2 linked regions of the Sus scrofa genome follow. The protein of the gene in region 1 interacts with the protein of each later gene in a pairwise test. Links are inferred from orthologs where the notes say so. Each region holds a gene or a part of one and is shown on either strand. Other genes may lie near its edges.

The links.
Region 2: the proteins of ZBED1 (region 1) and LRRC20 interact in binary tests that used the Homo sapiens proteins (3 or more experiments, as listed by UniProt). The two-hybrid records come from large-scale screens. The link is inferred for Sus scrofa from reciprocal best matches to the Homo sapiens genes ZBED1 and LRRC20.

Annotation. Positions count from the first base shown.
Region 1 is NW_018085344.1:625,735-629,381, forward strand, and holds part of ZBED1 (zinc finger BED domain-containing protein 1), read right to left. Parts: intron 2,228-3,647; exon of another isoform or gene 2,225-2,227; 5' UTR 2,168-2,224; coding exon 38-2,167; 3' UTR 1-37.
Region 2 is NC_010456.5:73,237,585-73,241,231, forward strand, and holds part of LRRC20 (leucine-rich repeat-containing protein 20), read right to left. Parts: intron 3,408-3,647; coding exon 3,240-3,407; intron 1-3,239.

The DNA.
Region 1 (3,647 bases):
CATCGGCCGCGGCCGCCAGGACGCAGGTTTCCCCCGGCTACACGAAGCCGCCGTCCCGGAGGCCGAAATAGCCGGCGTGGACGGCATCCCCCAGCGGGAACACCTGCTCGTGGTCCAGGCCCCACTCGCCCTCGTCCTCGTCCTCCAGCTCGGGCTCGGCGGCGGCGGCGGCGGCGGCAGCGCGCGCGTTCTCGTACAGGAAGATCTGCTCGTCCACGTGCGCGGGGGCCAGGCGGTTGCGCTTGGCGTGCACCGCGTTGGCCGCGGAGCAGAAGAGGCGCTCGGGGAAGACGCGCGTGGCCGCCACGCACCAGTACTTCTGCAGCACCTTGGGCAGCACGGGGAAGAGGGCCAGGCGGTCGGACCACCACTTGAGGGGGTCCTCGTTGAGTCCCAGCACCTTCTGGGACTTGAAGTTGCTCAGCTCCTCCACCACCTGCGCGTGCCACTCCTCCTGGTCCTCCACGCCCCCCGTGGGGCAGAAGATCTCGGCCAGCATGGTGTTGATGACGCTGGTGGGCGGCGGCGTGGGCGACAGCGCCGGCTTCTTGGCCGGGGGCTCCTCGGGCATCGGGTAGGGCTTGTCCTCGGGAGCGCCGCGGTAGCTGCCGTCCTTGACCTTGTCCAGGAGCCCCTTGGCTTCCTCCACCACCCTGTTTTCCACCTGCTGCCTCTCGAAGGCCGACAGGAAGGGCAGCCGCTTGTAGCGCGGGTCCAGGAAGGTGGCCACGTTGAGAAACATGTCGATCTCGGGCATCTCCTGGTAGGTCTTGGAGAGCTCCTTGGCAATGACCTCCTTGGCCATGCTGATCTCCTTGGAGTCCGTCTCCTTGATGGTCAGGGTGGTATTGAGGAGCATGTGCAGCAGAGGCTTCACCATGCTGATGGTCGGGTGCCTGGAGGCCGACAGCATCTCGGCCACCTGCTTGAAGGGCTGCAGCAGGTCCACCAGCCCCTCGATGCTGGCCCACTCGGCCGCCTCCAGCATCAGGTGGTGGTTGTTGCTGTCCTCCAGCAGGACGCCGGCGATGGCGAACTGCTGGTCCTTGAGCCGCTGCAGCATGGCCAGCGTGCTGCCCCACCAGGCCACCCGGTCGCTGACCAGCATGCAGGGCGCGGCGTGCTGCTGCTTCTGCTTCTCGTACAGCAGGTACATGGCCACGGTGGACTGCTGGAAGTACTCCACCAGCTTGCGGCAGCGGGCCAGCAGCGCGCCCAGCTTGGGCAGCCGGAAGGCCTGCTGGAGGCCGGCGTCGAACGTGTGCGCCAGGCAGGGCATCTGCACGGTAATGTCCAGCAGCGAGCAGGCCTTGGCGACGTCCTTGCCGCGGTCCGTGGTGGCGCCGAACACCTTGGAGCTGACGCCCCACTCGATGAAGGCCTCGTACAGGACGCGGGTGATGGTCTCGGCCGCGTTGTCCTCGGGCACCTCGAAGGTCTTGAGGCAGCGGGAGCCCAGGGCCAGGCCTTGCGGGGCGGCCCCGCCGCCGCCGCCACAGCCGCCGCCGCCGGAGAGGAAGTGCGCGGCCAGGGTCACGTAGGTCCGGTTCTGGCTGGGGCTGCGCCACAGGTCCGTGGAGACGCCGCACCACGCGGCCTCCGCCAGCTCCTTGAGCACCGCGTCGCGCACGGCGCCGTAGCGCTCGGGGATGGCCTTGCTGCAGAAGAACTTGCGGCTGGGCAGCTCGTAGCGCGGCTCGGCCGTCTTCAGCAGCCCCCTGAAGGTGGGCTCGTCCACGATGGACGCGGGGTACAGCCCCTCGCAGATGAGGCCCAGGACGGCGGCCGTCAGCTCCTGCTGCTTGCGGCCCTCGTGGCCGTGCGCGCCCTTGGCGGCCAGCGGTTCCTGCGCGCTCTGCTGCGCCGCGTCGGGCTTGAGCTTGGAGAAGGCGCTGGCGAAGGCCTCGCGCATCTGCTCCGTGTTGCTCTTGACGAACTCACAGAACTCGTCCGGGTGGTTCTTCTCCAGGTGGTACGAGAGATTGGACGTGTTGCCGGAGTAGGCGATCTGCGCCATACAGATGCGGCAGTAAATCTTCTTCCACTGCAGGATGCAGCCCTCGGCGTTGGTGTCGAAGCCGAAGTACCGCCACACCTTGCTCTTAGCGCGAGGGTGCGCCACGAGTTTGAGGTCGGCCTGCGCGCCCTCCAGGCTCTTGGCCTCCATCGCGCCGCCGCCAGCACCGCCGGGGCCCCCGCCGGGCCTCTGCTCACTCGGGGTGACCTGCCGAGAAGCAGCGAGACAAACACAGCGTGAGAAGAGACGGGGGCTCGGCCGGCGGGGAGCTGGCCCGGGCGGCGCGGCTTCGGAAGCGAGGGCGCGCGCAGAGGGACCCGGGGTGGGCGCGGTGGCGCGTGGCTTTGGCAAAGCGGAGGGGACGTTCTGACAAGTGAGCGGCTCTTCCGTGCAGGTGCGTCTGAAGACACGCATGTGTTACCTTTCCCTTCTGGATCGGCTGTGGACTCCTGGTCACACTCTGTCCTCACCCGGCCGCTCTACCAAGTTCTGTGCTAGGAACTCCCCCCGCCCAGCGCCAGCCAGCAGGGCTGGTTTTCCAGGTGGAGGCCGCGGTCGCAGGGGCCACGCCAGCCCAAGACCCACAGCCCGCGCCTGAAACCTCCCCGTCGGCAAGCACGCAGGTGACCCGCCACCAGGGGAAGTGGCTCAAATCACATGAGTTAGCACAAGCAGTGGGGAACTTGGCAGAGGCAGCAAAGAAAAGCTTGTTTGAGTTTTCTGTTTTTAAATGATGCCCTTTTGACCCCAACGAGATTCCACGTTTTGTTCATCAAAAAGAACACAGATAACACGTGTTGGGGAGGGGGGAAGAAAAGGGAACCCACCTACACTGGGTGGGAACGTCAACTGGTGCAGCCACAATGGAGGACAGGATGGAGGCGCCTCAGGAAATTCAATACAGAGCGACCGTAGGATCCAACGATCCCACCCCCAGCATCTAGCCCAATAAACCAAAAACACTGGTGTGCAAAGCTCCCTGCACCCCAATGCTCACAGCAGCACTGTCTACATTTGCCAAGACACAGAAGCAACGTAAGCATCCACGGATAGAAGAATGGACAAAGAGGAGATGCTGCGTGTGTACAATGGAATATTACTCAGCCATAAAGAGGAATGAAATCATGCCATTTGTAACACCATGGAGGGACCCAGAAATGATCATGCTAAGTGAAGGAAGTCAGAGAAAGACAAGTATCGTATGATATCACTTATAGGTGGAACCTAAAACTTAAAAAAAAAAAAAAAGGAGTATAATAGAAACAGATTCACATTTACAGAGAAGCAGCTAGTGGGGGAGAGGGAAGGGGAGGGGCGAGAGGGAAGGGGAGGGGCGAGAGGGAAGGGAGGGGCGAGAGGGAAGGGGAGGGGCGAGAGGGAAGGGGAGGGGCGAGAGGGAAGGGGAGGGGGCGAGAGAGGGGCAGGAGATTAAGACGCACGCACCCCCACGTATGAAAGAAGTAATTAAGCTGCGAGCATACAGAGCACACTGGCGTGGAGCACAGGGAACCGTGCCCACGATTCTGTGATCGTCTACGCGGGAAAAGAATCTCAAAGAGAATGCATGTGTGGACAGAGATCCCTGAGTCACGCTGCTGCGCAGCAGCAAGGATCGCAGCCTTGTCAAATC
Region 2 (3,647 bases), on another chromosome or scaffold:
GAGGACTGTCTGTACAAGGTGGCAGTAATGAGGCCACCACATTCTACCCAGATCTGTGACCAGAGGACATTTCACTATGGTGAGTACCAAGGACTGGCACCCTCCCCCTGCCAATGACTAGACCGGAAAGCAGGCAGCAGTGTCCCCGTCCCTCCCAGCCAACAGACCCGCTGAGGTCCCGTGCCCTCTCCTTGGACTGCAGCCCTCACCTGCTTCCCCACATCTTGGCTCAGAGAGTGCTGGCAGACCGGGCAGCGGCATTATTCACAAACAAGGTGATGCTGCTGCCCTGGCAGCTTCCAGGCCTTCCAGGCTGGAGGCAGCTTTGGAGGTGTTCCCTTTGGAGGCGCTCCCTTTGGAGGTGTCTGCGGCTGCACCGGGGGCCTGTTGCAGAGCTGCTTGTGTTCTACTTACTGAAGGAGAGCTTAAAGGCAGCTAGTGCATCTCCAATTTATTTCTCTAAAAAACATTTTTAAAAATCTCCAATACCCTCTTAGGGCTCCATAGGGGAAAAATAAGCCATTCGGAAATTCTGAGCTCCTACTGCAATCATCCCAAGGAGATCCTGCAGGAGATCAGCTACAAGCGGTAACCAGTGCAGAGCTATTTCCATAGCAAAAGACTGTGCAGCCCTTACCTTCCTCGCGAGGACTGCAGCCCTCCTCCCCGCCACTGGGCTGTGAAGGCTGTGGCCTGGCCTTCCGCTGGTCAGGGAGTTAGAAAGCCATCCCTATAACTAGGATGGATCGGGGAACAGGAAGTGAGGAATCTCCTGCAAGGGAACCATAGCTGCCTCCATGTGCCGCTTCTCTCCACCTGGTGAGGGGAGCGCACCCATGGCCTCCCGCAATGGAGCAGACCCTGAGGTCAGCCAAGCACCTCTGGGAGCCTCTGAGTGAACTGGGTCAGCCCCCAGCATCTCCATGTCCCCCAGGCTGGGCAGCATGGGGCTGCATCACAGCCTGAACTGGCTGAGAAGCACAGCCCAGTGGCTGATGTCTCTTTTACCTGGCCAGGTGTGCCAGAGACACTTGACCATGAAGGCTGGGCAGAGTTTTAGTGCCTCAGTTTCTACATCTCTCAAATGGGATGATCACCCTGTTGCCTTGGGCCTGCATGCGAGCTTTCTTGGTAAACCGTAAATGCTTCCATGTGTAGCATTTTACTGTCACTCTTCGGAAAGGCAGAGATATGCACATGAGAGAATAAGTCAAAACAGCCAATCTTTGCTCTAGGAGCTGTTGCTTTCTCTCTCTCCCTTCCTTTCTCTCTCTCTCTTTCTTTCTGTCTCTTCCTTTCTTTTTTTCTTTTTTAGGGTGCACCTGCAGCATATGGAAGTTCCCAGGCTAGGGGGTTGAATCAGAGCTGTAGCTGCCAGCCTATGCCACAGCCACAGCAATGCTGGATCTGAGCCGCATCTGTGGCCTATGCTGCAGCTCACAGCCATGCCAAATCCTTAACCCACTAAGCAAAGCCAGGTATTGAACCCACATCCTCACAGACACTACATCAGGTTTTTAACCTGCTGAACCATGGCAGGAACTCCGAGGAGAGTCACTTCTTGTACTTGCAGCCAGCATAGGCTCGCCCTGTTCTCCTGCTTGGGGAAAAGCCACCTTATAGGATGGGGGATTGAGGAGGGCAGGGAGAACTTCTGTTTGAAAGCTGAGAAGCAGCTGAAGCCCACAGAGGGGATGGGAGTCTTCCAAAGGTAGGAAGCAGGGAAGCCAATGGCCAATACCTGTCCTGACCTGCCGGCCTATAACTACACACCCAGCTCTGGTCTTGGCATCAGCCTGAAGTAGCCCCTCTGGATCAGCCACTGTCCTATCTGGACAAGCAGTGGAAGGAAGTGGAGGCATCAGGAGTGGCCTCCAAGAACAGTAGGCAGGGGAGGAAGGGCCCAGCGAGGAGGGCCTGGCTGAGAATGAAGGGCTCAGGATGAGACCCCCAGAGGGCAGGACATCACAGAAGGAAGAGCCTTGCAGTGCAAAGGCACTTCTGGACGTGCTTCTTCCACTTAAAGACACTACAGGGGCGCAAGTACCAAGGGGACCAACCCAGGGACCAGCCACTCAGGGATCCTGGTCTCAGGAGGGTAAAACTAAACCAGAGCCCAAGGCCAGGCAAGGGAATCCCATTCCTAGCACAGGGGTGAGCTTTAGCCTCATGCATTCTCGTCCTGGCACTTCTGCGGTCTCACTGTGCAACTTGAAGCTCTCTGAGCCTCAGTTTACTCATCTGTAAAAGGATGGACCTCAAAGCTCAGAGGTTAGCTGGTCCCACCTCCCACTCAGCCAGCAGCATTCTTGAGACTTGGGATGCTCATCAGTGCACAAGGCAGGCCGCTCTCCATCAAACAGCTCCAAAACACTAGAGACCTCTTGCTTTTAATCAAATGGCATAATGGCTGTGAGAGTGCTTACAGAAATAAAAGCATCACTGAAGGGGGTTATTACTAACCATCAACATTAGAGGCAACATGAGAGAGGGTGAAATGGGGCTGGAGATGGGTTCCCCAAGCGCACCAGCGCAGCTGTGAGAGGGAACCGAGGAGGGGCGTGGAGGAACCCTGCGGGAACCAGGCTCTCTGGAGACAATAGACAGCAGCTGGAGAGGCTGCTCGGGTCCTGATGAGACTGAGAGCTACGTAACTGCTACAAAAGGAAGAAAGGGACCCAGCTCACTGGTGTCTCCTGTTTGCAGAAGGCACATCTCCAACCCAGAGCAGGAGACCCCCTGGGTCCCTAGGGGGAGTATATTTGTCCTGGAAGGCAGAACACATCTGCCCAGTGGCTCCTACTTCACAGTGGCAAAGAGCTCCCTATGAAGCCAGGGACTTGGGCTGGAGTCCACGTATAGAGGTCCTAGCGGAGGGTCTTGGGGGCAGCCAAGGCTGGCAGATGGAGAGGTGAGAGGGAGAGCTGGTAGTCCAAGGTGGCCCAGCTGGTACAGGGCTTGCTGAGGGGAAAGCCAAGACCTTCTACCTGCCAAGTGGAAGCCAGGGACCCGCTTGGCCCCTGGCAGGTGGCACAGCTCCAAATGGTTACCTTTCCAAGCTCAGTGCCCTGTATTCAGGAATCTCACACCAGAAAGCCCAACCCTGCCCTCTTGTCTTTGGGGCCCAACTCAGAGCCCCATGCCTTCGTGCGCTGTGATCCCCACTCAGGAAGGGGAGCTCAGAGGGAGGATCTGCAGACAGAGGGCGGTGAGGGGCCAGGCAGCCTGGGTGCACTCACCTACAATCTCGTTCTCCTCTAGATTGATGGTCTCCAGCGCAGGCAGGGTGGTGAGCTGCTCGGGGAAGTCGTGGAAGTGATTCCGGGACAGGTCAATGGCCTTGAGGTGCTGAAGGGTGCTGACCTCGTTGGGCAGACGGTGCAGGAAGTTCCCTTCCAGGTGGAGTTCTGCGGGGGGCGGTAGGGTAGAGGGAGAAAGAGAGAGGAGGCGTGAAAGAGAAGCAGCCCAGAGACCACAGTGACCACTAGCCGCCTGGACCCAGAAGGCAGAAAGGAAACCCAGGCGAAATGGAAGTCCCCAGAGGGGCTAATTCCACATTAAGGCAAAAGGAGGGGTAACCCCCAGCATGGCTACCCATCACTCCAGCTGGACCCCTACTTCTGGCTTTGGGATGGAAGGCTCTCTCA